Linked DNA regions of Lepisosteus oculatus. The protein of the gene in region 1 interacts with the protein of each later gene in a pairwise test. Links are inferred from orthologs where the notes say so. Each region holds a gene or a part of one and is shown on either strand. Other genes may lie near its edges. The genes, in order: gripap1 and rab4a.

The links.
Region 2: the proteins of gripap1 (region 1) and rab4a interact in binary tests that used the Homo sapiens proteins (3 or more experiments, as listed by UniProt). The link is inferred for Lepisosteus oculatus from reciprocal best matches to the Homo sapiens genes GRIPAP1 and RAB4A.

Annotation. Positions count from the first base shown.
Region 1 is NC_090697.1:77,018,177-77,034,172, reverse strand, and holds the start of gripap1 (GRIP1-associated protein 1), read left to right. Parts: upstream 1-7,375; 5' UTR 7,376-7,392; coding exon 7,393-7,434; intron 7,435-10,712; coding exon 10,713-10,779; intron 10,780-11,520; coding exon 11,521-11,582; intron 11,583-12,111; coding exon 12,112-12,138; intron 12,139-12,737; coding exon 12,738-12,845; intron 12,846-14,623; coding exon 14,624-14,780; intron 14,781-14,951; coding exon 14,952-15,118; intron 15,119-15,501; coding exon 15,502-15,550; intron 15,551-15,996. Other genes in the region: mon1ba (vacuolar fusion protein MON1 homolog B), read left to right, coding at 520-667, 2,530-2,763. UniProt on the Homo sapiens protein: Regulates the endosomal recycling back to the neuronal plasma membrane, possibly by connecting early and late recycling endosomal domains and promoting segregation of recycling endosomes from early endosomal membranes.
Region 2 is NC_090712.1:2,310,900-2,327,454, reverse strand, and holds the start of rab4a (ras-related protein Rab-4A), read left to right. Parts: upstream 1-10,567; 5' UTR 10,568-10,752; coding exon 10,753-10,768; intron 10,769-12,604; coding exon 12,605-12,685; intron 12,686-13,084; coding exon 13,085-13,199; intron 13,200-14,377; coding exon 14,378-14,440; intron 14,441-14,962; coding exon 14,963-15,117; intron 15,118-15,987; coding exon 15,988-16,083; intron 16,084-16,555. UniProt on the Homo sapiens protein: The small GTPases Rab are key regulators of intracellular membrane trafficking, from the formation of transport vesicles to their fusion with membranes.

The DNA.
Region 1 (15,996 bases):
GAGAGAATTCAGAGGAGTGGCTTCTGGATGACAGTCCTCTGTGCACGAAGTGAGGAAACGCCCTGCCTGAGCTGTGCCAGCAGGAAATCTGAAATGTGTTCTGCTAAGAGCTGGAAGGAGGGTGACAGGCTGTAGGTGACCATTTGGCTCATTTGGTAGCAAAGAGCTGATTGACTCGGCCAGCTGCATCTCGGAGGACCGCAGAGATCCACTTCCCACCATGCGGTGAGGAAGCTTGCTCCAGCACCTGGTTTCCTAAGTACACTGGAGCCGAACGTAATGCTCTGGTCTGCCTCCAGTGTTTGCTTTCTGCTCAGGCATGTTTGAGATAACATTGAAAGGTCCTTCCGGGGTTCTGAAGAGCTGATAACGTCTCGTTAGAACGTGTTTTCCTAAACTTTCTGAACCGCGAATGTTTCGGAATGCCAGGCGCACAGGCACTGCAGGAAGACGGGAGCCTGTGAGTGGCTGTAGCGCCTGGGGAGGCTGACCGCTGTGTGTGGGTGTCGTTGCTTTCAGCCCGGAGCTGGAGGCTCCCTACAGCACGGAGGAGGAGAGGCGCCGGCTGCTCGACCTGTACCGCTACCTGCACAGCCGCATGCACAGCTGCACCCGGCCGCTCAAGCTCATCTACCACGTGGCCGAGAGGGAGACGCTCCTGGCCTGGGTACGGGGCTGGGGGGTAGGGGCGGGGCTGGGGGAGGGGGGGGGTGGACAGGGGCGGGGCTGGGGGGTAGGGACAGGGCTGGGAGAGGGTGGGGGGGTGGACAAGGGCAGGGCTATGACAGGGTAGGGGCGGGGCTGGGAGAGGGTGGGGGGGTGAACAGGGGCGGGGCTATGGAAGGGTAGGGACAGGGCAGGGAGAGGGTGGGGGGTGAACAGGGATGGGCCTGGGAGAGGGTGGGGGTGTGAACAGGGGCGGGGCTATGACAGGGTAGGGGCGGGGCTGGGGGAGGGTGGGGGTGTGAGCAGGGGCGGGGCTATGACAGGGTAGGGGCGGGGCCGGGAGAGGGTGGGTTGTGAACAGGGGCGGGGCTATGACAGGGTAGGGGCGGTGCTGGGAGAGGGTGGGGTGTGAACAGGGGCGGGGCTATGACAGGGTAGGGGCGGGGCTGGGAGAGGGTGGGGGTGTGAGCAGGGGCGGGGCTATGACAGGGTAGGGGCGGGGCTGGGAGAGGGTGGGGGGGTGAACAGGGACGGGGCTGGGAGACTGGGAGAGGGTGGGGGGTGAACAGGGACGGGGCTGGGAGACTGGGAGAGGGTGGGGGGTGAACAGGGACAGGGCTGGGAGAGGGTGGGGGGGTGAACAGGGACGGGGCTGGGAGAGGGTGGGGGGTGAACAGGGGCGGAGCTATGGCAGGGTTGGGGCGGGGCTGGGAGAGGGTGGGTGTGTGTGAGCAGGGAGGGGGCTGGAGCAGGAACAGGGCTGTGTCCTGGGTGTGCTGGAAGAGAGACACAAGGTGGGGTGGGCCAAGCCTGGGCAGGGTGGGGGCGGGGCGGGGCTAGGGCAGGGCAGGGTGAGGAGCTGGTGGCAGGAACACGACCGCAGTCTTGATAACCATTCAACAGGTGATTGAGAGTGAGCAGAGGTTGCTTCCACACTGCAAAGCAGAAGGAAAAAAACAATGTTCAAATTCAGACACGAAGAAGGCTCCAGACATTGTTTCTTTGTCCTTTTTCAGTGTTGAATTGCCTGATCCTCTGCCTGCAGCCTGAACACCAATGTAGCACCCCCCCAACCACACCTCTTCGTAATAATAACTCATTAAGAGAGGCTTTTATTCACTTTGACCGAATGGGATAGGGCAGGGATCTCCAATCTAGTCTGGAAAAGGCTGCGTTCCTGCAGGTTTTCCAGGTCTCTTTAAGCCCGCAGCGCCTGCAGAGCTGAGAAGATCTGTTTAACTGCCCAGTTTACCCAATAAGTAGTTCAATCAGAGTGTTGCGCTGTGCTGGAAGGTAGACTTGCCCAGTAAAATCCTGGACTAGAAGGTGTGCATTAACACATTTTCTTGCAATCACTCTCAGCAATTTGCTCTAACTCCAGCCAGCGCGTGGGATCATGCCCATTGAAGTGCTAATATTTTGTTGCTTTCTAGACATTTTCATCCAGATTCTTATAGAGAATAGGGGGTGAACCGTGGCAGAAACAGTCACTGTTGCCGATCACTGGGTTGGTGGCAGAGCTGGAGTCTGATCCAGGAATCTCCCTGGTTGTAATCGCACGCCCATTACACAACTTGGCACAGGCCCTCAGCATCTCAGGTTTGTGTCGTTCAAAGGTCCACTAAAATCAATTGAGATGATTAGTGGTGCACAATAAATAATTCCCAGATCAGTTCAGGACACAGAATGCTTGAGTTTAAAATGCAGGGTAAAGGTGTCCCAGAAGGTTTATGTTCCAGCTGGATCCCACACCTGGACTGTTCGAGTTTCCACAGGAGCGGAGTGGGGAAGCTTTTCCTCGGAGGACACCTGCACTCTCCCCCATCAGCTGAGCTCTTCCTCTCCCTCCCTCCCTCCCTTCAGGTGACCAGTAAGTTCGAGCTGTACACCTGCTTCAGCCCCCTGGTGACCAAGGCCTCGGCCATCAACGCCATCACCAAGCTGCTGCGCTGGATCAAGAAGGAGGAGGACCGCCTCTTCATCCGCTGTCCCCCGAAGTACTCCACCACGCCCCACCCCAGCAAGGGCTCGCGGGGGGGCAAGGGGGGCTCGGACCGCCAGGACACCACTGACAACGGCTTCCTCCCCCCCCTGTAGGAGCCCCCGCCCTTCCTGGTGCGGGACAGGGGCGCCCGGGGCCGCGTGCGCTAACGTGAGGACCACACCCGCAGACTAACTCGCTGGTCTCCTGGCGGCTTGGATTGTAATGGACACCTTTCCTCTCAGACAGGTTCTTTTTTTTTTTTAATCGTCTAGGTACTGCTAGGCGACGCATTTCTTTTCTCTTGGGGGGGGGGATGGGGAGGGAAAGCAGATCTAGGGAAAGGTGTCGTTCAGAAATATCAGCCAGCGAGGATCTGGAGGGGTCTGGGAGTGTGGTCTTTGAAGGTCTGTTACAGGATGTCTCTGGGCTGGACAGGTGTGCAGACTTTGGGCAAGGTTTACACCGGGAGCTGAAGAGCTTGCTCTGGAAATCAGGAGTCTTTGAACATGAAGACCTTATCAGGCACCGTATGCAGAAGAAACTTGAGTTTTAATTTTAAAAGAGCCAGGGACGTTGGCATCTTGGTCATAAAATTGGGGAGAGATGCCTGATTGCTCTGTGAAACTCTACACTCTGAAGGAAGCTTGTTCAGGTTGTTCAGCTAGTCAGGTTTCTTTAGAGATGTGTGGAGCGAATGTTTGAAGTTATAGACCGTTGCCCTGGGAGCTGGTACTGACTCGAACCCCACACAGCGCCCGCTGGGGGCCTGGTCTCCCGTCAGCTGCTCGTCGGGGCTGGGGCTGTCCCGAGCATGTTTTCTGTGACAACAACAGAAACCTATCCCCGAGCGAGACCGAGCGTTATTTTGAATGATCGTCCTGTGATCGGGTTTTCTAGCCTTTTTCTAGAAAGGCTGACGTTTTCTAGATCAAAAATTCAAAGCGTGCGTGTGCAACCTCGATGCTGAAATAAATCCTCAGTTCCCCAGCTGTCTGCTCTGGCTGCATTCCTGTCTTCTCCGTCTCCCTGCAGTCCCTGTGCCCTTTCTCAGCCTGGTGTTTTATAGCACGGGCTTCTCGAACCCTGCCCTCGGTGCAGACAGGCCTCACGGGTCAGTGTGTCCGCTGCCCTTGTCCTTAGACTGGGCTGCAGTTTACTACACTGCAGCTGGGGTTTCCAGGACATTGCCAGTGTATTGTGACGGCCGCTGCTGGCCGGAGTCTCTCCCGGAGCGTTTGAGACTGTGCTTACCATGAACGGTGGGATTAGGATTTTGAGCAATACTCTGAAAAGTGTGAGGGTTGCCTAGTCTTGCAGTTACACACAGTTGCATCTCTTTCTAAATTTGCCTTCTATGCAATATGTTACGGTGTTCTATGTGTTTATATAAAAGAATCTGGAGGGCTCTGTGGTAGGAAACAGGATCTGAAATGTGACAGCAGATCTGACTAAAGTGAAGGGGAATTCCTTTGAAAAGGTCAGTTCCACGCTGTCGCGAGTGCAGTGTTACCATGACTTCAGATTTGCACTGGAATCAGTGCTAATTTATGCAAGAGGCAGAACTTCCAGCTTCAGTATTGAACTAATCTGTAACTTCAAACACTCCCTGCACGTCTTAATTCCTTGTATGAACCTCGGACACACTGAATAGTTTTAAAAGTTGTATATACATATATTCAAAATAGACCTATGTTGGTTCTGTTCAGATCCCCAGCTGTTAACTTCTCATTTGCTGACTCTGCTGTATGAAGGTTTGAATAGGTTCCAGAGAAAGGAAGGATACAGGTTGATATTGAACTAATGTGCTCTATGATTATGTACTGTTATGGTTACATTTGCTTTCCCGCTGCAGTGTGAATTTAGCTTTACGAACAGTTTGCTTTACAGAAGTCGGAAGGGTCAGGCAGGGAGCGGAGAAGCATTCTGAAATAGTATTCTTCGTGTTTTAATGCAGTGACTCCAAACCGTGTTGCTGGAGAACCACTGTCCCACTGGTTTTTATCCTAGTGGAGTTCTGTATGACAAGCGAATTCGATTTCAGTTTTCTGTTTGGGGACGATTTTGAAATTGGCTTTCACTTCTTCAAGTGTTGAATGGGGTTTGTCTTTGGTATCAACCTTGTCCCCAGTTTCTGAACGTCAGACTCTCCTCACTCAGGTATTTGGCCTGAAGTGTAACCAGTTAGACTCCTGTAAGAAGGAAAACAATTGCTTACTGGGAGAGTGTTACACAAGCTATTCTCAGCTGTGTCCACTCAGCATAAATTGAGCACCTAATGATAGCTGTTTAATCGGAAATAGAGGTGAGCAGGGCTGCTGATAGACCTGTGTGCAGACGTTGTCTATGAAACTATATGCCTGAAACTCAGAACTTGAGTGCAGAAACCTGGAGACTGGAAGTCTAAACCACTGAAGCAGATCGGTGAGCGCAGGTGACCTGGAGCTCCGCTGGGATGAAACTCCTCAGACACTGGGATCAGCCTGTTCCCGGCGCCGGGACCTGCTGCAGTAACACCGCTCCCGACGCGCTCCTGACGGCGCGGCACAACTGGAGCATCGCTCTCCCTGACATCACGCTGGCTGGGCAGGGGCTGGGCAGGAGCCGGCCAGTCCGCGGCGGTCCCGGCGCCACGGTGCCCGCCTGCCGGTGTCGCGGTCCGGCCGGCTGTCCCGCACGGGCGTCGGCGACGCTCGCTCCACCGGGTCGCGGCAGAGCCAAGCCGTATTTGCCCTGACCTGCAGGAGGAGCGAGAACGGGCGGGGCAGACCAGTCCAGTCCGAGCCAGATCCATCCCGAAGCACTGTTGTTAAATCCCGGCGCTCCCGCAGGGCCAGTCCGCAGCGCTTGACCCTCAGTGGTCACTGACCCCGAGGGACAGCCACGGGCTGGTGTCCAGTCCAGCTGACGCCGTCAGTCCAGATGTGGTCTCTACGCGTTTGCAGTCTCGCCTGCCCTGTTCTCTCTCAGGCTTGCTCCAGAGTTCATCTTTCTTCCCAGCTGCTCCGCGCTGTGTGCAGCCGCATGGTGATGCGTGACTCTCAGCGCCCCGAGGGGCAATTTGTTTCCTTCTTCCGCGTGCTAACAAGGGGCGACACTCTCCAGGGTCGGCCGGCGATCTGCTCTGCATAAACGTAAACGACAAGGTGTGAATTTTGCCCCCTCCCCCCCCCACACTTTTTAAATTAAAAGTGAAAGTATTTCGAAGTGTGTGTGTTTGTGTGGTATTTTTGCGATCGGCTTTGTGATTTTGCTGCGGACAGAACCTTAACGTTGCCGGTGTGCAGTGATCCTGTCTCGGCTTCACGGCGGCGGTGCGGTCGGGCTTGCGGTGGCGGTTTTTAAGGACAGATCAATGTGACAGATCCCGCCACGGGAAACGCGCCGAGTGTTGTCGCCGTCGCCCACGGCCGCTGTAAGACGGTGTGCCAGTCTCCTCACCAGTGAAGCCGCGGCTTGCGGCAAGCTTCTCATTTCCAAATTGGTGGGTCAGCTGCCACCCACTGCTGGGTGCGTTTTCTGTCGAAGTACATCGCCAACTCGTCGTGCTTCACAAACGAACTTTTGAAGTCGGGCGAGGAGACGGTTCGGATGGGCGATTATACGAAACTGCCATATAGTGCCTTTTTAAACAGATGAAACACGTCCACCCGCTGCCCCCGTGTGCCCCACTAACAATTCGATTATTGATTCGGATAATTTGATTTTATGATGACGACACACCTGAGTTGTATACGTGAGGGAAGGTTAAGTGTCTATGAATGAGAGGAACACTCGTTATACAAACGAGATTTTAACGCTGTGGCTGGTGTTTTTGGCGCCGTCCTAAACCCTTTTTGACTTCTGAGCGTCCACCTTCAATCCAAGTGACACGTCACAGCCTCGGACCCGTGACCGTAGCACCGCTACTCCTTCTCCCACAGAGCTGATGCTTTTCGTTTCTGTTATCAAAACGGACACAAGACCCAGAGGAAACAAGCGGAAGCTACGCGGCTTTGCATTTACAAATGAGAACAGGAGGCATTTTTCTTTTACACTAAGGGTGGCGGGGGCGTGGAACAAGCCCCCCAGTCATATTGTTGAAACCGACACGTCGGATTCTTCCAAGAAAGGACTGGATAACATCCCCGGCTCAATTAGCCACAAACTACTAGGCAGGCTAGTTGGGATGAATGGGCTCCTCTCGTTTTTAACCTTGATTATGTTCTGACGTATTTTAAATATTTCAATTTTAGGAATATTAAAGGTAACAAAGGAGAGCAGAGTTACACACGCTTGGCTAGTTTACAGACGATATCGAAGTTGCCCAACACTGCAGCGTTATTATTAATTTAAAATAGCAATCTTAAGAATTCGGTGTTTTTAATCAGTGCTGTGAGTACACCAGTCGGTGGGACACGTCGTTCTCTGCTGAAAATGAATAACTGCTGCTGCTCCCCCTGTCGGACAGGTGTCGTTAGTGCAGCTAATGTAAGGCTCACCATGGACTGAACTATTGTATCGGCAGGGTGGATTAGCCGTCATCCTTCTCGGATCTTTAAAGTCAGTGTATTTGACTTGGGCTTACCATCGGTTATTTGCCGTTTAGTTTTCAGCAGGCAGCGATAAAGATCCCAATCGCGTCTTTATTTTTCACACGCTCGCACACGCCTCCCTCCCTCCTCTCCCACCCCCTTCCCGGAGAAAGTATTGTGTCATTGGTATCGGCCGACCCCCCCCCCCCCTCCCCCCTTCCAGTAGTAAAGATGGCGCAGGCACTGTCAGAAGAGGAGTTCCATCGAATGCAGGTAAAATGCTTCTAATACGACAAAGTATCAAGTCGAATTGGGTCACATCGCGGTCCGGGTTGGTAATAAGAAGTAGGGCTCGCTGGGCATTCGGGTCATGAAGCTTTCGTTCGGAAAGCAGGGTCGAGAACAGTGCGGATGTTTTCGTAGGCCAAGGTTGCAGCCTCGGCGTCGAGTGGGCGATTGTGACCGAGTGTGATGGCGATGGGAGCCAGTCCACTCGGCGGGGAAGAGCCGGCAGAGAGACAGAGATGCGTGGGGAATAGGTAATGCAGAAAACAAATAAGCATATTAATCAGCCCATTGACAGGCTGGTTCACAATTCTGAATTGGGGACGTCTGAGCAGCTAGTCTTTTTGCAAACTAGCTGACATTGTTTTTTTTTTAGTGGAGCAGCACCGTCCTAGTCGTATTCTCCTTAATAAGTTGCCAGATTGTGAGTTTTGCTGGCCGGTTTCTAACACAATCCCTAAATCGGGACGGGGGGACTGTTTTTCCTGTAGTCGACCGCATCCTGTATTGAGGTCCTGAGTGATGGAGAGACCCGGGGCTCGCAGTCAGACCCCGGCGGTGGGTATCAGGTCGCCGTTCGGATGCAGAGCTCGACTCCTTGCTCTTCAGCCGCTGTGTTTATTTTGCTGTGTTGTGACATGACGTTGCGGTTTTGGCGGAGTGCGGCTGTGCCAGTTAGAGCCGGCGAAAAAACGCCGGGGGTCCTTCTGTGAGCACGTAAGCCCCCAGTCAGCTGTGACAGTTTGTAACTCTGCCAAGCCAGTGATCCGCACTTTCCTGGGTGAGTCAATAAAATCATAGCGCCTATGTGCCGCTGTTCTCGATGGCCAGCCCTGTCCAGCCCTGGATGTGGTGGATGCTAGATCCTTGCTCAGTGGCTCTTGGAGTAGGTGGGTTGTGTGGCTGTGGACTAGGTGGAAGGGATTGAGTCCGATCTTATGAGGAACCACCCCCAATATATTCTCAGACAAGGGGTCTATAAATATCGAGCGTGGAGCAGTGCCAGCTCCTGTCTGCTTCAGAGGGTTAATTCCACACTGGAAGGTAGTCCATTAACATTGTAGCACTAAACCGGAGTCCTTCCTGCTGGCTCTTGGTGTCGAGCGGTGTGTCACACAGGGCAACGAAGCCTTAATCCGCTAAACCTCAAACCTTAAACTTTGCTCGTCTGTGCTCGCCTGCTAACGAGGCCTGCCTTTGGGAGCAATGGCTACTCTTACTTCACTGCAGCTGATAATAATAAATAATAATCCTGACACATAGCGTTTTTCTGGACACTCCACTGACGGCGCTTTACAGGTAATGGGGATCCCCTCCACCCCCACCTGGATGATGCTCCAGTACTCTCCCCACACACCAGCTCGCAGTGGGGAGGAGAGCAGAGTGATGAAGCCAGTTCAGAGATGGGGGGTTGTTAGGAGGCCATGACTGGTAAAGGCCAGAGGGGAATTTGGCAGCACCCCTACTCTTTTTGAGAAACGCCCTGGAGTTTTTTATGACCACAGTGTGTCAGTTTATATGGCTCATCCGAAGGACGGATCTTTTTTTACAGTATAGTGTTCCTGTCACTATACTGGGGCAATAGCACCCACACAGACTGCAGGGTGAGCGCCCCCTACTGGCCCCACTAACACCTCTTCCAGCAGCAGCCTTAGCTTTCCTAGGAGGTCTCCCCTCCAGGTACTGGCCAGGCTCTCACCTGCTGAGCTTCAGTGTCCACAGATGCTGGAATCTATGAGTCCACAGCAAGCAATACCTTTCTAGGATTGGAGTGCATCCACAAACATTTCAACTCCAAGGGACAGGAAAGTCCCTTTGGTCCAGCAAAGAAACACTTCGAATGCACATAAGCCAGAGAAACGGGGCTGAAAACTACACAAGGATCAGCAGTGCTGGGAACCACCTGCAAGAGTTCACATCTACATGCTAAGCGAGTTAAAGATGATATTAGTATATGCCAAACCGTGCTACTGTAGATAAATCCCCAGGACTGCTCATAAAGAAGCTCGGTGAGACCGTATTCAGATATCAGCCTGTAGGTTTCTGAAGGATTTGAAACCTCCTTGCAGACATAATCAGAATTCCATAGTTATGAAGTGGTGGACAGTGAATGGGATCATTGGAATGTCTGGTATTTTTTCCAGGGAAAGTGAAAGGAGTTGGCCAGTCACATGGTTGTCACATGAGAGATTCTTGCAAGCGGGGATTGTCATACATTGCAGAAATCAGTCCTGTCTGAGCTGTAACTCTGAGGCAAATTGCAGTGTGAAGACAAACGGACTTGGGAAAGCCATTTACCTGAAGTTATTAAAAAAATAATTTACAGTCTCTCTAAATAATAACGCATTGCAAATTTGCATTAAACAGTTAAGTATGTTCACTATAAATTCAACTGTTTTATGGGAATGATGTAAATTGATGTTGACTGAGGTGACTTAACACTTAAAATTGAACCACTGCTTGAAGGCTCTTAGAGATTTGACCGTCACTGTCCTGCAAAAAGTGAAGGAAACAGATTCCCTTAGTAAGAGAGAGGAGGTAACACATCTCTTCTTCCTCGTTGTTTGAGCTTCCATTTCTTTTTTATTTTGTGTCTTATTTATGGTTCTATCCTATATGATCTGAAATTCAAAGGGGATTTTTTTTACCCGATTGCAATAGCATGGTAACAAAAGAAAAATACAACAAAAGTTCTTCCCCTCTTCATTACGGTATAAATGTTCACATTGATATTGATAATACTTTTAAAACTGTTTTTATCGGTACAGTGGCACACACATTAGCGCTGCTGTGTCATAACTCTTAGATTTTAAGTTTAATTTTAGCTGATGGTTCCTTCTGTGTGGAGTTTGCATGTTCTCCCCTGGGGCTCCAGTGGTTTGCCTCCACCTCTCGAAGACGAGCCAGTTGTGTTATACTAAAGTTCCCTTTCCACCCGGTCCAGGAGTGCAGCCCAGCCCTCGTGAAACCACTTTGCATGGAGTTGCTCTGCGCGAGCTGAACTGTCTTCTGCTGCATCTCTGTACACAAAAGTTGTTTTGTAGAACCTGAACCTGTGACCAATGATCAAAATGGTTTAAATGACTAGTAGCCCTTGATTAATGCTCTCATGTGCTCCTCTCCCCCTCTCCTCTCTCCCTCTCCTCTCTGCCCCTGACCCTCCCCCTCTCCTCTCTGCCCCTGACCCTCCCCCTCTCCTGCCCGTCTCTGCTCCGGTTGCTGTGCCTGACTGGATCCCCCACGTCCTCTCCTCTCTCCTGACCCAGGCTCAGCTCCTGGAGCTGAGGACACAGAACTACCAGCTCTCCGATGACCTGCGCAAGAACACAGCTGGTAAGAGACAATACGCGCAGCTGGGCTCTGTGGCCATACAGAGGCATCAAAAGCTTAGTTGAGCCTGAGATTTTCTGAATTCCTCTGCGTAATTGTAAGTGGCTGGTTGGGACCTGTTCTGTAGATAAGCAAGTCATCATCCTGTCAGTTTTGAGGCTGCTTCTGCAGCATGGCTCTTTTAAACGAGCCTGACTGCTGCAGGGTGCGGCAAAAGACCAGAAGCCACATCACAGCTGTTTATGTATTATTAAACCCCAGAATTGGTCAGTGGTTTCCTTCTAGTAGCTTCCGAGTTTGAAAGTGGACGCTGTGAGTCTGCTGGTTTGGTTTGGTGCTGGGGCTGTGTGCGCCAATCCTGGATAATAATGTAGCCCAGAGTTTAACCAGCGCTGTCGGTGCCTTAGGTGTTTGACAGACAGGTGTCCCTTCAAGGTCATCTCTAGCCAAGGACTGAGGTGGTCAGTCCTGGTCCCAGAGGGATGGTGTGTCTGCAGGTTTTCAGTCCAGCTCAGCTCTTAATGAGCTCGGTTAGCTCCTTACTGACTTAATTGGACCAGTTTACCAGCTTCTCCCAGCTCTTCAGATGCTGGTGCTTGGCGGAGATCTAGAAAACCTGCAGACTCACTGAACGGCCCTTGGGGGCTTTTGTGTGCATGTCTAGAGTGCTCAGCATGTGTTTCGCCGAGTCTCCTGTGGTGTGAAGTAACGGGTCCTGAAGCGCTTGTTCCTCTGGTGTTGCAGAGCTCAATGCCCTGCGCCAGAAGACCTCCACCCTCGAGAAGGATCTCCTCAAAGCTCAGAAGGTAGGACAGAGTGTTCACTGCTTTTCCAGAGTCGTGTCAGTGAGAGGGTGGAGTCTGTTCACCAGCTCTCTCTTCTTCCCAATGCTGGTACTATATCTGCTCCTGTTGTTCTCCTGTCCCAGCCACCGCTGCTTAAACCCACCACTACTACTGTTGCCATTGATACCAGTGCACATTGTCACCCAACGAAATAGTATCGGAGGACAGGGTGGAATAGACAGGCTTAGTAGTCTCTTGCTCTCATCCTCAAGATGGAAGTGCAATTAAAACTGAGAGCAGGAGGCTCCTTTTTACACAAAGGGTTGTGGGATTGTGGAACAGGCTACCCGACCATATGGTTGAAGCAAATTCTTGGATCAGTTAGATGCTAACTAGCAAATGGGCCAGATGGGCTTACTGGTCACCTAGCGTTTCTAATTGTTCATATGTGCAGAATGAGAAAGGTCTTGTGCACCTGTACATGTGAGCATATGTATAGAGATTTGTCTGTATCGAGGTTTGAATCTCATAGGTTAATTTTGTTTTGCAGGCTCTTGGCAAGAGTAAGAAAGCTCAGGTGAGTCTGTTCGTGAGTTGCAGGATGACGATTTCTGAGTCTTTCCACACGCGGCTTGGGCTGGTTTAAATAGGAAAAAATCGGGGAAAAAAATTAGCTGTTAAGCGGAATAAACCACTTAGTAAGACTTTGAGCCTTTTTATTCTCCAGTGGATGCAAAGAAGGTATCTTTATTTTGACAGCTGCACACACTAGTTAAATTAAGAACTTAATAGGTTAATTAATGAACAGTTTATCAATGTTTAGCTTAAGTCCTAGTAATTCTAATTTTAACAATTGCTAACATTTGACCTTTACAGTGTGCATTTTCCAAAACAAGGAGTGCAAAACAATTGTGCAAAGTAATTGATGTTTACACAATCTAGATAGATGAAACCTGCTCAAGACATTTTGGGTCTGATTGTGCAGGTTGGAGAACCATTTTAACAAGAGTAGAAACAAGACTTCCATAGCAGACTCGTGTATTCTTTTTAATTCAGGCGTTGACAACACAGGGGCTTTGTGTGTATTGGCAAAACAAGCTGACGAGCCAGGCTCTGTAGGAGCTCAAGTTGTCGGGGGCTGGGAATCTGACTCCTGTGTCCTGTGTCTGTGGGCAGGAAGTGGACGCCCTCCTCAGTGAGAATGAGATGCTCCAAGGCAAACTGCACAGCCAGGAGGACGACTTCAGGCTGCAGAACAGCACCCTCATGCAGGAGCTCTCCAAGGTGCTGAACTCTCCTGCAGCCCACACCTGCAGTAGCTGAAGCTGAGCTGCTCTTTCATACCCAGTAGGACAGAATTTTTTATTGCCACACAGCAAGACCTGGCGGAAATTGCTTTAGATAAAGCTAGAAAACTTGGAGAAGCAGACATATAGCACAATATTGAACTACAAATATAAATGAAAAGACAAACAAAGCACAGTCATAGTCGCTTATATGTAAGCGTTAAACTTACCGTCATGCTGATGCCTTTTGTGCTAAACAGTCCAAGTGGACATGCCCTCTAGCTGTTAATTCATTATTTAAGCTGTTTATTTCTTTCATGTCATCGCCAGCATACATACAGTGTTAGTCTTCTTTTATGCTGAAATTTTGGTTTCACCTTTGGGTTTAATTACTTTCATGTCTTTGATATTCCACTTGTTAAACCTAAGTAAACCCGCTTTTGCCCACAGGGAGTTTTAAATACATCTGTGTGTATTGTAGTACCTTCTGTTCCTCTGTCAGCGCTGCTTTTTTCATGAAAGGAAACCAGAGGCTGAAACTAGAACAAATAAACACAGCCGGCATTAAAGAGTAGGAAGCATGAGAGGTTCAGTCACGGATATCTTGTTTTCCTGAAAAGGGCATTTACGTGTATGTTTGTGCTGACTGCTTTGCTCACCATGCAGCTTGTGAAGAGGTTTTTAATCTCCCTGTCGAGAAGGCGACAAGAGAAAACATGATTTGCTTTGCGTCTGTCTGATTAAGACATATACACGCTGGTGTTTGCAACATTAACGTTCTTCCTTTGTGACTTCCTGTCAGCCCCCGCTGCCTGGGCAGTGTGTGGGCTGTTGTGTAAAAGCCCTCTCGGGGCTGGAGACGCTCAGGCACGCTCATGCTCAAGTAGCTCTGGCCAGCGAGTGGGTACACACGATCACCGTGATGCTTTCGTTTTTCATTTTTTAATGAGAACTGATAAATACGGCCAGCAAACACAGGTCCTGGAGGGGAGAAACTGAAAGACTGGAGACGACATGGATGTTAACGAAGGAGGTTTTTCAGAACAATCTTAGCCTTATTTTCATCACATAAACATAAATGTGCTGTCATCAAGCACAAACTCTATTTGCGGGGTTGAGATCAATTCAAATCCAAGGCTGTAGCTGTAGCGTTTTGTAGTCTAGGTGTTGGTGGGCCAGTAGGTGGCTCCTTTGGACTGGAATTTCCTGACCAGTGACCCAGGGTAGTGACAGGGGCAGTGTGCTGCAGGAAGGGCCATCTTTCAGAGGTTAACAGGAGGAACTGGTTACTTGGTCATTAAAGATCTGGCACTGTTCAAAAGTGTAGGGCTTAACCCCAGTGTCTTGGCTAACTTCCACTTTGGGCTTGTGCAGTTGCAGTATGTCTTCCTTAGAGTATCCTCTTGAGTCAGCTGGTGCACCTTCTCCTCCTGTCTTGCTGTGTAGTGGGGCTGCTGGTGCAGACTCACCCAGCTGTTCTTCATCACGTTTCTGTGGATCAACCTATATGTTTATGCGTAAATGCTAATTTTGAAAAGTCTTTAAATTCTTGCTTGAATTCATTTCTGTGCTTCATTACTAGCTGAAAAGGTTATTTATGCATTCAGCTTCATTTAAGTTATTGGATTTCATGATGTTGGACTAAGAAACAGAATTGACATAATGTTTACAAGTCTTGCACATCAGCAGCAGGTAAGAAAGCTGGTAATCAGGGCTCTTGTAATGCCTTCAAGCCGTGGGACTCTGAGACACTGAAGCTGATGTTGTCCCCTCCAGCTGTGCTCCCAGATCGAACAGCTGGAACAGGAGAACCAGCAGCTGAGGGAGGGGCAAGGGGTGGAGCCAGCAGCCCCAGGCTCCGCCTGTAGCCCCGTGGATGGAGAGTTACTCCGCCTCCAGGCTGAGAACTCCGCCTTGCAGAAGAAGATGGCAGGTGAGCACAGCGAAGGGGGAGCCCAAGGTTGGGGTGCACAGTTTCTGGAACCACTAGGCACGGTATAAGACAGGAAGTTTCCAGCATGCGTAGTGCAGTGGAGGGTTGGCTTCTAGCAGGCATTTCATGAATTTGCTTGCACATGTTCTGCTCTCTGCCCTCCCTCTTCAGCCCTGCTGCAGCACCGTGAGCGGGAGGAGCAGAGCCAGGCGGGGGCCGAGGTCAACGGGCTCAGGCCCGCGGCGCTGGGCTGCGTGGAGCCGGACCCGGGCCAGGCGGATGCGGGCGGTGGGGGAGCCGGCACGCCAGAGAGGGCGCCGAACGAGCGGATCGAGCAGGTGGGCCCGGGACCGGGGAGGGGTGCGGCCGTGCCGTCGTGGCCCGGCCAGCGCGTCCGGTGCAGATCCAGTTCCGCTTCGCGTTGCAGTGCGTTATCCTGAGCGCACTGTCTGTGCACAGAGCTGCACGCATTTCTCATGAGAAGTTTGTGTTTGCTGTGGAATCTTCTGATTGTGCAAATAAATCCCAACCTCTTGAACTTGAACCTCTTGAATCCTGGGAGCTGCCAGAAGAGACAAAGTATTGAAGATCTGGATATAGATGGAGCATAGAATATATATGCAGATTTAAGTATATGAGTGCTAGTATTGCTATATGAGTAATTAGTCTTGTGTACCACTTCTGTAGCTGGAAATAATGAGCTTTTCAATTCATATCGCAGGCCGAGGCAAAATGTGCCAAACTTGAACAGCGAGTGAAGGAGTTAGGAGGTGAGTCGGGGAGTTTTATTTTGTTATAAAGGGTTTTGCTCTCTGAGGGAAGTGTTTTTGTGGGCTCCAACTGCTGTAATTACAGTCGGAGAATAAAATCATCCAGTACTTCTGATAGCACCCTATTTTAGAAATGGGGATCATCCCTATTGCAGCTCTAGGGGTGCACGGTTTTGAGAGTCTCCCAACATTTAAAGGGAAGAAGCATGTTTTGCTTTTACTTTTTTCATTCTAATGGGACCAGCTACTGAAGACTAACCTGTGTAATAGTGTAATATTTTACAGAACCTTACACTTCAATTGGCAGTGTTGTCTTCCACAGAAATAGTTTTCAAGTTACATATACATGCGGTTAAAGGGTGTTTTAAATATCACTAGTGTAAAGAATTAAAGAAGAAAAGCCATAAAAAATGTTTAAATAAGCAAACCTTTCTTTCCGTTTCCAT
Region 2 (16,555 bases), on another chromosome or scaffold:
CAGTCTTTGTGGTGACATTGCTCTTCAATTAGCACCAATTACCACTAAGGACATACAGGACCATCTGCTGTCTTCCAAGCACCTGTTCCCGAGTCCTCTAACGTGATATGTAACCAAATCCTACTCCTAGCTCCAAAGCAGTCCACGAAAAAGCCTCTATTCAATATAAAGTAAGTGTAGTTATCTTTAAAAGTTGTTTTATTTTTTACTGATAAGGTTAGAGGGTGCGGAAATTACCTTTAATAAACCTTCATCAACAAATTGTTTAGCAAAGTTCTTTGTTCCAGATCAAACTTTTGCCATGTTATTATGTTCTCTCATCATTTTGTTGCTGACATTTTCCCAAATCTAAAATGTTCCTATTCATTGTGGGAAAGCCTTGCCTGTCTCAGTCCGATTAAATCAGAGTTCTTCTGGGGAACTGAGAATGATGTGCTGACACAGAAAAAGTCATCGTACATTAAGTGTTCCATCGCTGCATGGGCCTGCAACCCTGTAGCATCGTGGGTAGATGAGAAGAAAGCTGTGGCCGCTGGGAAGATCACCAAACTTAACACTCAGTGGGGATGTGAGATTTCCAAGACGGGTGTGCACAACGCATCCAGCACTTAAAAAACCATTTTGCACTCTGTAACCGTGGCCAGGGAAGGCTACACTGTGGACTGACATGGGACAAGAGTCAATCTAAACACCCTGCTTCAGCTACCAGCTCAGCAGATACAGCTGATGGTAGGTTTTTGTGTGACAGAGCTGTCTTTCTTGTCTTGGTTGACCAACACGCGTCACATGCACAATTGGAAATTAATCTGGCTTGAAGTCGGTCCTTTCTGTGCGCGAATACTCTTCTCCAGACCTAATACTGGGTTTTGCAACGGTCAGTGTTTGTGATCAGAAGTCAAATGCATTCCATTGTTTTAATGGTATCAATTCATTCTTGATTTCTGCCATTTGACAATATTTTTCATCCAAAAAATGGAGTTCAGTTTATTTTCATGTATTTGGATCTTGTAAAATCACGATAAATTAAATTTAAGGTTTGTGACTTCCCTCAGTCTTTAACACCTATCATGGCTCTAATGTACCATAACAGGCACTTGATCCATCCATGCATCCCACACTTTAAAACACCCCTTTCTATGTATATTTCTTCCATTGACTATATAGAGTACTGTCTATATTGTACATATGTGTATTGGACATATCGATCTTTTTGTGTAACGGACTATATTTGAGTAGGAAAATTTACTTTTCAATTCAAAACATTGTAAGCTGAATTTATGTACTGGAATTGTGAATCATAATTATTTGGTTCAGTTCAATTCTTTTTTTTTTTCACCACCCAAAACCTTCAGTGAACAAGACTTAAAGAGCTGTGAACAAAAGCTACAGTCACGTGTGGCTACAAACAGGCAGTACAGTTACTTGCCTTGAAAATGGGCAGGACATGCACAGAGAGCGGCAGAAAATGAATATTTTTCCTTCTGTTTGCGCTACCGGCTTCTCCTATTTGTGACCATGCATTTAAAGCCAACAAGAGGTACTGTTGACGCCAGTGACTTGGTGTCTTTCAAGAGTCAGCTGGAAGAGATCCTTTAATCAATTAGCTAGTAATTACCAAACAGACTGGCTGGCTGGCCTCTTCTCATTTATAACTTTTCTTATGTTCTTATCCATCCAGCAATTTTCTAACTCCCAGAGCCAGAGCCTATGCCAGCAAGTGATGGGTGCAACATGAGGATGGGGGTATTAGCTACTAATTACCAAATGGATTGTTTGAATAGTCTGCTCTCATTATAGCCCTTTTTTTGTTCATTCTAATTCAAAATATTGATGATTGTTTGGCAGATGAGGTTAAAGTCCCTTACTCATTTATTCCTGTTTTCAATTGCATAACGCTAGCGTGCCCAGAGGGGTTGGGCAGCCAGTTGACCTTGGACCCCTAGAGAGGTTGTTTTTCTCCTTACTAAGGAGTTTTTGGTTCCTCTCCTCTGTTGTCTTCTGGTCTTTTCTTTTCTGTATTGACAACATGTATGGTCACTTGCTGTGTTAAGTGCCTTGTGGCAACCATGTTATGAAAGGCGCTATATAAAAATAAATTGAATTGAAATAAAAGGAAAACATCCCAGGGTACTGTAACTCCTTTTCAGATGCATAATATACTGAGAAATCAGACAATTAAGCTGCATCATATGGTATCATATGTGACTAAATGTCATTTAAATCAGTAGTACAAGAGCTGGAGTCAATTTCTGCTGAACGCTGCCTTTCGGAAAGCACATGGGCCACTGTTCCCCCCTTGTCTTCACAAAGGGCCCCAGTGTCAGAGTCCTCCTGTCTGGTTTTCAGCGGGTTTAGTTACAGTTTGCAGCACCTCTCAGCCTGGCCCAGTGAGGTTTCCTCTATCTCTGTGTGTGTGTGTGGCGAGGGAGGGGCCCAGAGGGAGGACTGGTCATTAATTCTTTTCCTGCGAACAATGAGCCTCCGAGCAGAGCTGAGTCAGTTCGCCCGGCTGCTTTTATTCCAATTAGTTCAGCTCCCTGCTCCCTGCGTTACCAGGAGGAGAGGAGTAGTGGGATAATGAGATGCTGGGAATGCAATTTTCACTGTGGAATGTGCACCAGAGCATGTCTCTCAGGGAAAGTCTATAGCGCACACCCTCTCCCTTCCACAGACACTATGTCCTAAAAAATAATATTTTTTTTATTCTAATATAGAAGGCCGGCCCTACTCCGAATCAGATTTGCGTGTTGCTTACACAACAGTGCCTTCCTTTGCTACCCTTTGCACTGCACTGTTTCCATGATAGAGCATCAGCAAGTGAGTACTGTGAGTACAATGTTTGATTTACAAAACTGAGAATTAGTGCATATCGCTCCTCCCTCCTTCGGACTCCCAATTCATAGTCCAGTTCAGTGCCCCGGCCCAGAGAGACTCTTTCCTCAGATACCTGCCCTGGAAGAGCATCTGCTGCTTCTGCCTCTGTTAACCCCAGAACTCCAAGCAAGTTACTGGTGTCTCTGCTGTGATTGGAAACACTGTCCAACTTTGAACTCTGCTTGGCCTTGGCAGGCATTTGGCCAGCTGTGAAATTCCCTTGGGAATTCCTGTCAGATTCAGGATACACTACAGCCTCTGGATTTCAAGATCCAAGCTTACACTCCCAGCAGAGTAAAATGTTTTTTTGTAACCTAACGCAAAAGAAGCAGAACATCCTTTAACCAGGGCCTATTTCCGATATTATTATTATTATTATTATTAGTAGTAGTAGTAGTAGTAGTAGTAGTATTGTTGTTGACTATTATTATTGTTGATTACTACTACTACTATTATTATTATTATTATTATTATTATTATTATTATTATTATTAGGTGTCTCCTCTGCAAATTGTAGTGTATGCAGATCTCTTCTACCAAGCTTTAACGTCAGTTAAAGCTCAACCTAATGATATTTGGAAGGGTTTTTTTCTTATTTTATATTTCTGTTTTTCATAAGGAATGTCAAAGAGTAGCTCACACATGTTAAATAGAATTCAAGTCTTTTGATGGTGTGTTCTCTATGGTGGAAGTAATCAATAGAATATTGAAAATGGTAAGTTATTACTTGATTTATGTGGGTCCTTATTCATCATGCATTTCTCATTGGGTTTGTATCAAAAATGTATCACTTTTTATGGATACATTTCTTTTGGATTTTCAGGCACAGTGGTACAAGCAGAGTCCAAGGGAAACAACATCAAGACACTTATTTTAGAGCAGTCATGCTCAATGCTGAGCACCTCTTTTTCTTCCGCTTGCTCTAGGTCCGTATTTAATTCTTCATGGCTGAGCTGAACATTCTCTCTTTTCCAGTCAATGAGACACGCTCAAAGAGGCCATTTCTCAACTTTCAGCTTTTAGAAGGCCTATCATACTGTATAATCTATTCAAATAACATGGAACAAATCAGATTTCATATATACATCATTTACGTAATAAAAATCTGAATTAATTCAGATAAAGAGGTGACAAAGTGCCTTCCACAGGCCTGAAAGAATTGCGTCTTTTCAATGTTAACATCACTCCCATGAAAGAGTCCCACTGGGGTTCAATGGGGCCACAATATGAAACAATTGATTTGTGCATCTCGGAGCTTGACAGCTGCAGCCCTCTCATTAGTATTCTAGGGCAGGCAAGGCAGAGACACTGTTACCAAACATCAGCTCCCGGCTTCAAAGACGACCTGCACTTGCTGATATGCATTGCCAACAAGGAGCGATTCATCATCATGTCAGAGCTCTTCACAGCATTGATCAAACATTCGCCCACATCGCCCATGTCGCAAAAAAAAACAGGGCCCAGCGATCCACAAATAATTAACTCACAAGCCAACAGCCTCTTTCGTTGCAGATGGAGTCGCACTGGACTGTTGATGGACTTCTCCTAAGAGTTGGAATCTCCGTGATTAAGGCAGTAAAGCAAAATGTATTATGTTAATCCTTCACGATGCCCTGCATTGTCCCTCACGGAGGAAGGGAAGCTGCAGAAGTTGAGACTGCGCCTCCACGTTTTTTTTTGGTCTTTACAGTCAAGCTTTTGGTGTCAGACAGCAAGGAGATCGGATTAACGATCGCTGTGTTTCCCACCAAGGCAGTGAATGCTTGCAGTGACCCAGAGCAGACACGCAGAGAGATCCCAGCTTTCTTTGTGTTTAGAGAACGCTGGGGGTGATCACAAAGATGTGACGCACCCCCCTCCTGGCTGTCCACTCACCCCACTACTCTACAACCCCCTCCACCGCCTCCCAAGTTGTGTGTTTTTCAAGCTGGGGCAGAATAACAATGCAGAAGTCTGGGTACCATGGGCTCAGGGTTTTATAAGCTGAGGGTCTGGTGGGCTTTTGTGAGGGAAAAAAAAAGTGCTTGATTTGGAAATCACGAAATGAATACTCATATCTTCGATCAACAAACATTTAACACCAGCCTAACACATGGCAAGAATGAAATGTTTTGCCTACTCCTACAGTACGTTTTGTTTCTTATTATTGTCTGTGGGTTGTAAAGAAAAGTTTTCGGTGTACTTGATTTAAATAAGGAAAGGAAAGCTGTCTCATACTTATCGCTCTTCCAAGTAGTACTTATTGACATTGGACGGGCTGTATATAATACGCATACAAGTATTTACTGTAAATGCATGTGGATTGTGGATTGAATGAGCATTTTTCTTTGGTAGGAATGTCTGTTTTCCATGGCAATATAGTTAACATAGTTTGAAAAAAGGATAAAACTGTCTCTCAGTGAGGTTCAGCACATGTATTGTGTTTAACAGACTATTGTTTAAATAACATCTAAAAACAGAAAATGAAAAATACTTGCTACACCCATTTTTGCACACCAGTGTTGTTTCTGTCACCGTGCCTCCCTGACTGCTGGGTTTGACCGAGAGCGCAGATGTAGTCCCTTTTAATCAGTCATTTGTACAAAGAAAACCTTCAGCATTTCAGAACAACATCCTGGCTTCATATCGTGAGCTTCATGACATTTTTAGATCTCAAGGACAGTTCACTTCCCTTTCCTGATTCCTATTGTGTGGCATGTACTGTATGTATTCCCAGTGTGAGGGAGGTGTGCAGATTTCCAGGAACCAGAACGAAGAACTATCTGTTTTTTTCCCAAAAAATATCTGTTAACGAGGGATTTATAGTGGAAAAAAGCATTTTTAACAGAATGAATTGCAAGGAACAATTTCTAGAGATTTTTAAAAAATCATATAAACCAACTAAGGCTTTTATCGTGAATAAGTAACGAATGTATTAAAATAATTGTTTAAAATTATTTTAATTAAAAACGAAACAGAAAAAACACATCGCAAACTGACTGCCCTCATGGTCACGATAATAACTGACAAAAATCACAGATTGGAAAACCTAACTAAAGCCCAGAAAATTACTTTCCGAAATGTATATAACACACAGTTAAGAGAGTCTGAACAGAGTGACTGGCATAGTGTTTAAGAGCCAAAGTGTTGTCAATATTAACATAAAACATTAGAAACCTTGACAAAAGATTGGTGGTTTGTAATGGGAGGAAGACATTCTGTCAAGACAGGAGCCACATATATCTACGACACATTATCTGGCAATGTCCGAGATAACTTGTCAACACAGAGGTTATGTCATCGGAGGAGTCCACTCTCTATTGTGCCTCTGGAGTGAAGTTTCCTAATTCTGCTCTTATCTCTGCCCTCCAAATGAACTGGGGACAGAGAGGATTTGGAGATGGCAGTGCCCCCAAACTAAAAAAAGCTGCAAGAATTGCATAGCCTAGGCAATACAATATGTATCTCTGACCTGATTTTTCAAAGTCGGTAAGACGTTAGTACAGACATTCAAGTTAAAAACTAAAGTCCAGAGGTGTGAATTCCACCAGGGCAGACTTACGAAAAGGTTCCAAAAAGCATGCATTATATCCTTTAGAAAATGTACAAATAAAGATACATACTGTATAGGACAGGAGAGACGATCATAACTGGTTTTATTCATTATTGACACTTTTTGAAAATCAAGTCTCTTTTTTCTGGGGTTGCTGTACCATGGACAAATTCTCAATATCTGTGTCAGGTGTGGATTTTGCTTGATGCGTGCTGCACTGTGAACACAGCTCGGCAGTCTTATTTCGGTTTTGATGTTCCTGAACGATCGAAACGCACTGAACTTGTCACGTGCTTCTCCAGGATGACGAGGAAACAGCCCATTGCTGTGGTACTGCTCTCTCACGGTTTTCGGTGCAGACCTGGGCTTGGGTCATATCGCTGTATCATTATGATCGAGTTATGAACCCCGTGCAGGTCTCGGAGAGAGCCCGATGGCTTTCGAGTCTGAGAGGCGAGATGAGAGGGTAGGCGAAGGATCCACAGCTAGAAGGGTCTTCATGTCAGTGGTCAGTGGTCAGTGGTCAGTGGTCAGTGGTTTGAGGCGTGAGGCGTGAGGCGTGAGGCGTGAGGTTTGAGGTTTGAGGTTTGAGGTTTGAGGTTTGAGGATGCCACAAGCTCAGGAGGCGGATAGATTCCTAATATCGAGCGAGGACTAGGAGTGAACGGAGGGTTTAAATAGTGAAGGAAAAGGAGATTGAATCATGAGGTTCAATTAATGCCAGCTTTGCTTGTAACAGTCATGCAGCGTTCGGGAAATGAACTGACCCCCTCTTTAATATAACATCAATGATCAGTCCCCCATACATGACAAGGAATCTGATTTACACCACTCCCACCTCCAAAACAGCTGTATGTGCTGTATATGATCTGCAATTTAAAGGCTCATATACCACACCTGATTGACTATTTGTTCAAGAACAGATGGAAATGAAACAGCCTTAAAAAGCCAAGTATTAGCAATGTTGGGCATAGACGACACACTGCAACACATTGTGCCTATTTCTCAGTTAAGTCCAATATCTTTCCATCCAAGCCAAACGACTTGATAGATTTGGGTTCTGGTATGTTTGAAATGCATCCCACAGGCATACATTGTCTTAATTCCTTCTTTCTGTCTTCTTACAGCAGGTTCAGGAAAGACGCACACATACAAAGCTGTAGGGCTTCTAAGCTGTAGCAAAAATGTATGCATTTTACAGCCATCTCCAGCCCAATTACAACAAGTTAGGGCTGATTTTTCAAATCAGACTGAACAAATCACCAGTAGAAGTAATCTGTGAGCCAGACCTTCTCAAACAATCAGTACGTGCAACATCTGATGTCATTTAAAAGATGTGCTTGACCTTTGCCTCTTTTTTTTCTGAAATCTTATGTATGATGGTTGGCACTAGAAAGAAAGCCTTAATCAAAGGGGTTAACAAAGGCTGTAGTTCATTAATGTTTGCTCATTTTGCAATGTGTGTTTTTGTGCTTAAATACAGCTAAACCGCACGAAATGAGACCCACTCTCTAAACACTTTTGCTCCACAGCCCTACAGTTGCAATCTCTGAAAAAAATGTCCTGCTTTATATGCGCAGAACATTTTGTGGAAGATACTGTTTGAGAACTAAGGATTTTCAACAAAGGAATGGACATTGAAACCATTGACAAACTTAACTGACTGAATCTGACATAATTCTGGTGGTCTTTTCGACTGCATTTGTCCTTGCTGCCCAGCTTGAACAACTCCCTTCAGTGGTTTCCTTGAGCTGCATTGTGCTCAAACCGGGTGATTCATTTCAAAATGGGATGACATGAGTTCCTAAGACCTTTCACCTTAAGGTCTAGAAAACCTCTAATCTACAGTGAAACACTGGCACTGCTAAACGCTGATCCTGGGCAATTTGCACAATCTGTTTTCTATATTTCTGAGTGCTGCTAATACAAACAATGAAATCACCCTTGGAATACTGCCAGCAACTTTTACAGAGGGAGTGTAGTCCCTTCTAACATTGACCAGATCACAGGGCACATTCTGGTGTTTATTTACTTTCATTTATTTATCCTTCCTACAAACAGTTTTGTCTTGGTAAATTCCAAGTAAAGTATATATGTTTTATTTGAACTTTTTATTTGTTTTGTATTTATTTGTGCTGTTGTTACTGGTGTGTTTCTTTGCATATTTGTTCATTTATTCACTCGTGAAATGTTTTGTTTTGTAGCACGGAAATAAATACCTTGCTGTTTCCAGAACTTTCTTGTTCCAGACGTCTGAAACTGGGGGTGCTTCCCAAGCCACACTGAAAGCACCGTGACGTAATACTGCCTCCTGGTGGCCGTGTTTAGTACCACACAGGCGAAAGAGGGTTAGGACTTTCCTGGACATGAGAGTATTCAATCACGATCCCATTGGAAAGGTGAGATCAAACTGACGGCTCTACGTTTTCCAACAATTCATCTATAGAATAAAAACTATTAAAAACAGGTTTGCCTCTCTAAAAGTCACAAGATGCACCATTGGCAGACCGAACATTTGTGATGATTTTATATACGCTTTAGGTACAAGTTACGGTACTTTTAAATCACTGAAGATATTTAATTAGCAATTATTTCCAAAAGCTTTTCTAAATGTTTACTAAAGCCCTAGCACAATTCTAGCACATTCGTTAATAAATTAAAGCCCCTTCTAGGCAAAAGTAAAGTTTGGATTTGCCGAAGGGAGGAAGGCCTGAAGAGAGAAATCTGTGAGTGGGTTGGGTACAAGTATTTAAATCTTGGGAGGTTCACTGCCAACACTGAAACAGGGCCAGAGAAAACATGTTTAAAGTAAAGTAAGAAGAGGATATTTCAGACTGAAAAGAGGAGCCATGTCTTTGTGGAGGTATGGAACTAATAACCCACTCAGGCTGTTGAAACAGATTTCCTTGGCATACATCAGGAACAACTGATAGATGAGATCCACGGAATCTCTTTGTCCTCAAAACAAACATATTTATTTATGCCAGCAGCCATATCACCCTGCAGCTCAGCTCATGACAATTCACTGAAGCCCAGCAGGTGTGAGCCTGGTCAGTACCTGGATGGGAGACTCCTGGGAAAAACTAAGGTTGCTGCTGGAACAGGTGTTAGTTGGGCCAGCAGGGGGTGCTCACCCTGCGGTCTGTGGGGGTCCTAATACCCCAGTATAGTGACAGGGACACCATACTGTAAAAAGGTGCCATGCTTTGGATGAGACATAAAATCGAGGTCCTGATTCTCTATGGTCATTAAAAAAATCCCAGGGCATTTCTTGAAAAGAGTAGGGGTGTTACCTGGCATCTGGGCCAAATTTCTCCCTGGTCTTTATCCCCATCTCTGAACTGGCTTCATCACTCTGCTCTCAGCTGGTGTGTGGGGAGCGGACTGGTGCACTATGGCTGCCGTCTCATCACCCAGCTGGGGCTACAGACTGGTGGTGCTGGAGGGGAGTCCCCATTACCTGTAAAGCACTTTGAGTGGAGTGTCCAGAAAAGCGCTATATATGTGTAAGGAATTATTACTATATTTAGAAGCCCCTGTTAGATCAAAGTCTGCAACTGCAGTTTCAATGAACATGGAGTTGTGGTTGACTGTCCTGACAGGGGCACCCTAAGGAATAAATAAACCCTTGTCGTGACCTTCCCCTGAAACATCCCTCCGCCAGTCCTGTAGAATCAGGCAAAATCATGATAGGATAAGATCACTTTATTAGCCATATACAATTTCTTGCATTAGAAATTCATCTTTTCACATACCTCAGCTTTCTCTCCATGAGGCATAGACACACAGACAGGGAGAGAAGCTTGGGGTCAGAGCACAGGGTCGGCACCCCTGGAGCAGCTGGGGTTAAGGGCCTTGCTCAGGGGCCCAACAGAGTAGGATTCCTCTACCGGCCGCGGGATTTGAACTGGCAAATCCACATCCAGCCACAGGCACAGATCCTTAGGTACAGTGCCACCCATTTGAGTACTAGACATTTAAGTACTACCATCCAAACCGTTCTCAGCTCTGTAAATACACGCATTGCTTTGAGGAATGGGTTTTCACGCTCGGCGGACGCAGAGGTCGCCGGTCCGGACAGAGGTTTTGCCCGTGCGCGCACACGGACGGGACTCGGGGCCGCTCGCAGACGCCGGCGCTCACGGCTGCGGCGCACAGCTCACTGGGCAGGGGGAGGGCTTTTATTTTGAAGAGGGCTCTACAGGAAGTAAAGGGAAAGGACCGGGATTCACGGAGAGCTCCCTGCGGGAATCTCTCTCTCCTTTTCTTCATCTCTGCTCTGCTTTCCGACCCACGATTGAAACAAAAAACACACACACACACAAGAGCCCGCGTCCCAGGCAGCCATGTCCGAGACTTACGGTAGGCACCGCGGCTGGTTTCACGGTGATTAAACATGTCTTCGCCCGGTAACTTGAGAGCGGCAGGTGTCCGGGGAGAGCCGGGTCTTTCCGGGACGGACCTGCCGCGGTCGGAGCGGCGCCCAGGCGGGCCTGAGAAGCGGTTTGCTTCCCGTTTCTCTCCACCGGCCGCGGGGAGACGCGTACTGTGTGGATTGTAAAATGACCAGATCTGAGCCGCCGGGTTGAATTCGTGCTTACAGAAAAGTAAGCTCACTGGTACTCTTTGTAACGTAAATGGTGTTTAAACAAGCGTATTGTAAAGGCAGGCGGAACCCTCTTAATATCTAGCGGTGTGATCACTTGTCAAAGGCTGTTTTGGAGATGCGGATTTGAAAAACCCTTTCGCTATCTTCTCACATAATAATAGCTTTCTTTCTCCTGGCTCTTTATAAAAAAAACAGGCAAGTTCCCGTAACAAGAAGATGCGAGTCCTTTTTGCCCAGTTCCTCAAATGCATGTTAGCCATCTACGCTTCATTGTGTTTTTACAGATGAAACTATCTGGTAAATACCGTCGCAGGCGCTGTCAGGAGCCAGGTGCGTTTCGTGCGAAAGGGGGCAGGCAGAAATATAGGCATTGGAGCTGGCGATTTGACTTAGTGACCCAACATGGTCTTTTACAGCGCGTATTAACCGCGTGTCACCCTGGGGTGCCCATGCCGAGCTCAGAGCTGGAAGGTGTTGTTGCGGGAAGTACCTGGAGCTGCCAGGGAGAGGAGAGATAAGGCGCCGGCGGCCTGGACTGGAACGGACGAGACTTGTCCGCTGTAATTCATCCCAGACTGCTGTGCTGACAGATCGCTGCGTTAATTCAATTAGGAGGGCCTGTGTTAGCGTCTGCTGTCAGCATGCGAGGGGGGCTGATTTAGGACTGGAAGCGGTGCAAGAGATGTTTTTTTTCGTTCTGTGGACTGCTGTTGTGCCTGACAGGACGCAGTTCACCTTGACGCACCAGAGTCTGCGGGTGCCGGACCCAGGAGGTTTTTTGTGTCTCTTTTAAATTGCCAACAGCTGTGGGTTGTAGTGAGGGGATAATGTGGTCAGGTTAAACCAAGGGAAGAGTTCAGTACTTCTCCCGGGTGAGGAGCTGCTTAGCACTTAAGGAGAACTGGAACACCTCTGGATTTGGGATCCCTAACACTGGAGTTGGGATGCTCTGCCTTAGATTGCCCACAGCTATATCACTCTGCAACTCACATCTGGCAGCCCGCTGGAGCTCAGCAGGTGTGAGCCTGGTCAGTACCTGGATGGGAGACCTCCTGGGAAAGTTAAGGTTGCTGCTGGAAGAGATGTTAGTGGGGCCAGCAGGGGGCGCTCACTCTGTGGTCTGTGTGGGTCTTAATGCCCCAGTATAGCGAGGGGGACACTATACTGTAAAAAGTAATTGTCTTTTGGATGAGATGTAAAACCGAGGTCCTGACTCTCTGTGGTCATTAAATATTCCAGGGTGTTTCTTGAAAGTGTAGGGGTGTTACCCTGGCATCCAGGCCAAATTTCCCTCTGGCTTTACCAGTCATGGCCTCCTAGTAGTCCCCATCTCTGAACTGGCTTCATCACTCTGTTCTCCTCCCCACTGGGGAGCGTACTGGAGCACTCTGGCTCCAGGTGGGGCTGCACACTGGTGGTGGAAGAGAGTCCCCCTTACCTGTTAAGTGCTTTGAGCGGAGTGTCCAGAAAAGTGCTATATAAGTATAAGGAATTATTATTATTAGATGGATGCAGATGTAGAGGAGTTCTTTGGCTATGATCCGGTCAGGACTACTGTAACCTGGTTTGTTTCTGGTTTGTTTCCACAGACTTCCTGTTCAAGTTTCTGGTGATTGGGAATGCAGGTACAGGCAAGTCATGTCTCCTCCACCAGTTCATCGAGAGAAAATGTAAGTGCTGTCCAATTTCTGTGGAGCTTGCATGCAGTTCTTTTTATGTTGTGTTTTTTAATAAGCGTAGGTGTTTGAGAGAAGCAATTTGACAGGGATGGTCCACTGTAGCTTATTGATGCTTGATCCATCAGCCCATCTAGCTGTTTTGGAAGGATTGCAGCTGTTTTAGCTCGGAGAATGTGGCCAGGTAGCTCTGTGGTAGCTCACGTTACAGCTCATTTACAAGAAAATTCGTAATGAGGATCCTTAATTAAGTGATGAGTCTAGATGAGCAAAACTGGGCTGATGGACCTCCTCTCCTTTTGAATCTTTCTTAGGTTTTTCAAAACGTTTTCTCAAAGTATTCAATGCAGCTCTGTGTCCAGGTCTGTGAAAGTGACTATTTTTTTTGTCTAGTCAAAGAGGACTCGAATCACACCATTGGAGTGGAGTTTGGCTCGAAGATTATAAACGTGGTGAATAAATTTGTCAAGCTGCAGATCTGGGACACTGCAGGGCAAGAGCGATTCAGGTATGGTGCTAATATTTTCAGCCGATGTTCCCCGGACTTGACAAGTCACTGCTGTGTTAGTGCTCCGGTTGAAGTCTAGCCCTGGAGCATTTGGTGATCACCAAGTGCGTTTATTATTCTGATCCATGCCAAAAAGCAGCTATGTATGTTATGATCATTAAATGAGGTTTCTTCACGTTTTTATGTCTAAATAGGGATAAAGTAGTTTTCATTACAGTGTCGAGAGGTAATGTGAAGTAGTATTGCAATTTGTGCTCTGATGTCGGGTAGCAGGTAATAAGTGAGCTTTTCTTCCTTTTTCTCTGTACATCACTGTCTACATTGTCTTCCCACCCCAGAATAGCACAGTTTGTTCTATGCAGTACAGGTCTGTGCTGGATGTCCAATGCTGGTGGCATGACTGCAGCTGCACCCTCCTGCATGCTTTGTGAGCAGTGTTGTTTTAGGCTGTCCTTCAGATTCACTGAAGAGTGCAGCTTCAGAAGCTCAGGGGTATCGAAGCTTTAGTACGTTAATGTGCTTCCATTTGTGCAGAATTATGAGTGTGTCTCTATGGTTACTCGAACACCAAAACCAGATCATCTTAAATTAATTTTGTAAGGAACTGTGCAATTACGTAGTGCATAAACACTAAAGTGGGATCTGTTTAAGTCCACTGTGGCTCCCAGCTGGTGTCTGAGCATCTCTTCACAGATCTGTGACAAAAGTGACGGGACATATCTGTCTTGTCATAACTTTACGTCACAACTTCTGCATTGGATGGCTGTTGATCTTTGATGCATGAAATGTGCTTCTAGTCTTTCTCGGTTATTTTTTTTTTTTTAGAGGTTCAGCAGTTCTGCTTATTCCAGAGAAACAAATATGACTCCCAGGGAGCAGTTGTCTGACCTGTTTGAAGTTTCACAAGCTGCTGGTTCTTGTACTGTTTGCACCAGTATCAAGCTTGATACTGTCTTTGCTCTATGTGCCTGTCTAAGCAGGTTAACTGTAAGGTAACAAGCCTGAAATATCCATCACCTGTGCATGGTTTCAGTAAAAGCCTGCACTGTATGCACAGTAGCCTGAACCAGATCCAGCTGTTGATTACTGCTATAGTACACTGACCATGTGGCTGAGCAGGGGAAAACGTGGAGAATTCACTGATTCCTGGTTAACTCTTCAGTGTCATCTCCTGGCAGGTCAGTCACCAGGAGCTACTACAGAGGGGCTGCAGGGGCTCTGCTGGTCTATGACATCACCAGGTAAGAGCCTCGTACAGTAGAACCTGCTTGATGCTCAGTCACACTGCCTTGATGAAAATAATCAAATTAAAACACAGTGTCTTTTTTCCCCCTGGAACCGGTAAAGCTTTCCAATAGATCACTATAAGTTTTCTAGAAGAAACGCAGTGGAAGGTTACTTAATAACCAAAGTATACTAAAAAAACCATCACTTTTGGCTTTAAAGCCTTAAGCATTATTTTTACTTTTTGTATAGGAAAGTGAAGTGCTGTTCCTCTGCAGTGCTGATGTGAAGGAGAGCTGTTGCAAAGTGAAGACTGGAGTTTATTCTTTTGTACTCCTTTACCTCGTCGCAAGAAAAGCCCAGTAGATTTGCTGAACAGAAATAAATGTGCTCCTACGACGTTAATGTGATGTCCGGGCTTCTGTGAAGCTTAGAAGGGCATTTCGCGTTTGTAAACCGCATGGCAAATGCAGGCGTGTGTCTTGCGATGGAACGCGTCCTTGATTTAAAGCCATCTGTAATGTTCTGTTTGGACACAGCCGAGAAACCTACAACGCACTCACCAACTGGCTGACGGACGCCAGGATGCTGGCCAGCCAGAACATCGTCATCATCCTGTGTGGCAATAAGAAGGATTTGGATGCAGACAGGGAGGTGACATTCCTGGAGGCTTCAAGGTTTGCTCAAGAAAACGGTAAGTGTCCCTTGCCATTTCTGAGCCTGAATCGTGTGAAGGAACATTCTTACGGAGCCAAAGTGGGGCATTAGTTGGTGTGGTATTTATTTATTTAGCATCGAAGGAAGTGTAGTCTCTTTTTCATGCCTTGTTCTAAACCAGGTTTATAAAATCCTGTTGCCAAGCGGTTTCTCCACTTCAGGTTTTACAAGGTGCAGGCTGATGTATTGTTAAACAGTAGGTTGATATTTTGGTGATATATTGATGGTTTGGGGCTTTGATATTTCTGTAAATATTCGCATTAAACATAGAGGCTCCATGAAGTGCAATATAAAACAACTATAAATAAATAAGCCCTGCAGTGCTTCATTTACCCTGGAGTTTTTATATTGCATTTCATAAAGATCTGACGGTCTTAAAAACTAAATGCAGCCAAGAGAGTTTCCCTTCTATTTCACCAGTGCTGGTGGGCTACAGGCCTCTTGTGTCTCAGAGCCTGGGGCGTTGGGTAGCAAACCTGTCCCCACAGGAGATATATTCTGTCAATTAATGAAAGTATGGTCTGGGTTTCCTTTTGTCGCTTTAGTAACTTCTATTTTTTAATCAGCTTGGTGTTCTTTCATGATCAAGTAAAAAACGTTCCTGGAATGAGTTGTTGTGGTGTGTCAAGAGTGTAGTTCCCATGGAGTGCCACTAGAGGTCATGGTACTTTCATATTGGTTGTGGTTTTCTTTTTCCTTGCTCCTCTCTTTCCCTGCCCTCCTTTAGACTGGGCCTAAACAGCAACAGTAGTATGTTTATTGTACAAATCACCTGCCTCTTAAGCCTTAACGTCTGATATTCACTGAAAGTTAACAGTCTTACGCATTCCCACATCCTGTCTTCCAGAGCTGATGTTCCTGGAGACGAGCGCACTCACAGGGGAGAATGTGGAGGAGGCCTTTGTGCAGTGTGCCAGGAAAATCCTGAACAAGATTGAATCGGGTATCTGTTTTCTTTGTCTGCCTCAGTGAAGCTGCACAATCACAGATTTGCTTATGCAACACTTATTTATGCAGTGTTCCCTAAACCAATTCCGCCTTTCCCCTGCGCTGGTTGAGCCCGCATCTCATCAATATCGTATTAGTTCTGTTGCTTTGGGTTTTCTGTGGTGCGTGTGATGAGTGCAGTTGTCTGGAATCTAGGTTTCTAAAGGAATGACCAAGCACTGGCTAGATCTGACAAGTGGGCAGGACAGATTAGGGTTTGATGTGCTTTATGCTTTCGATTGATGAGATGATCGAGACAACGGAGGGTTTGATCTGAACCAGTGCCAGTTCTTTATGGATCACATTGAGATTTTAAAAAGTACCCCTTTCCTTGTACTTGTATATTTATTTTAGTGGGTACTGAAGGTGAGTATTTGCACTTGGTATTTAGAAATAAAAACAGCCTCCAGCACTGTGCAGAGAAAAGC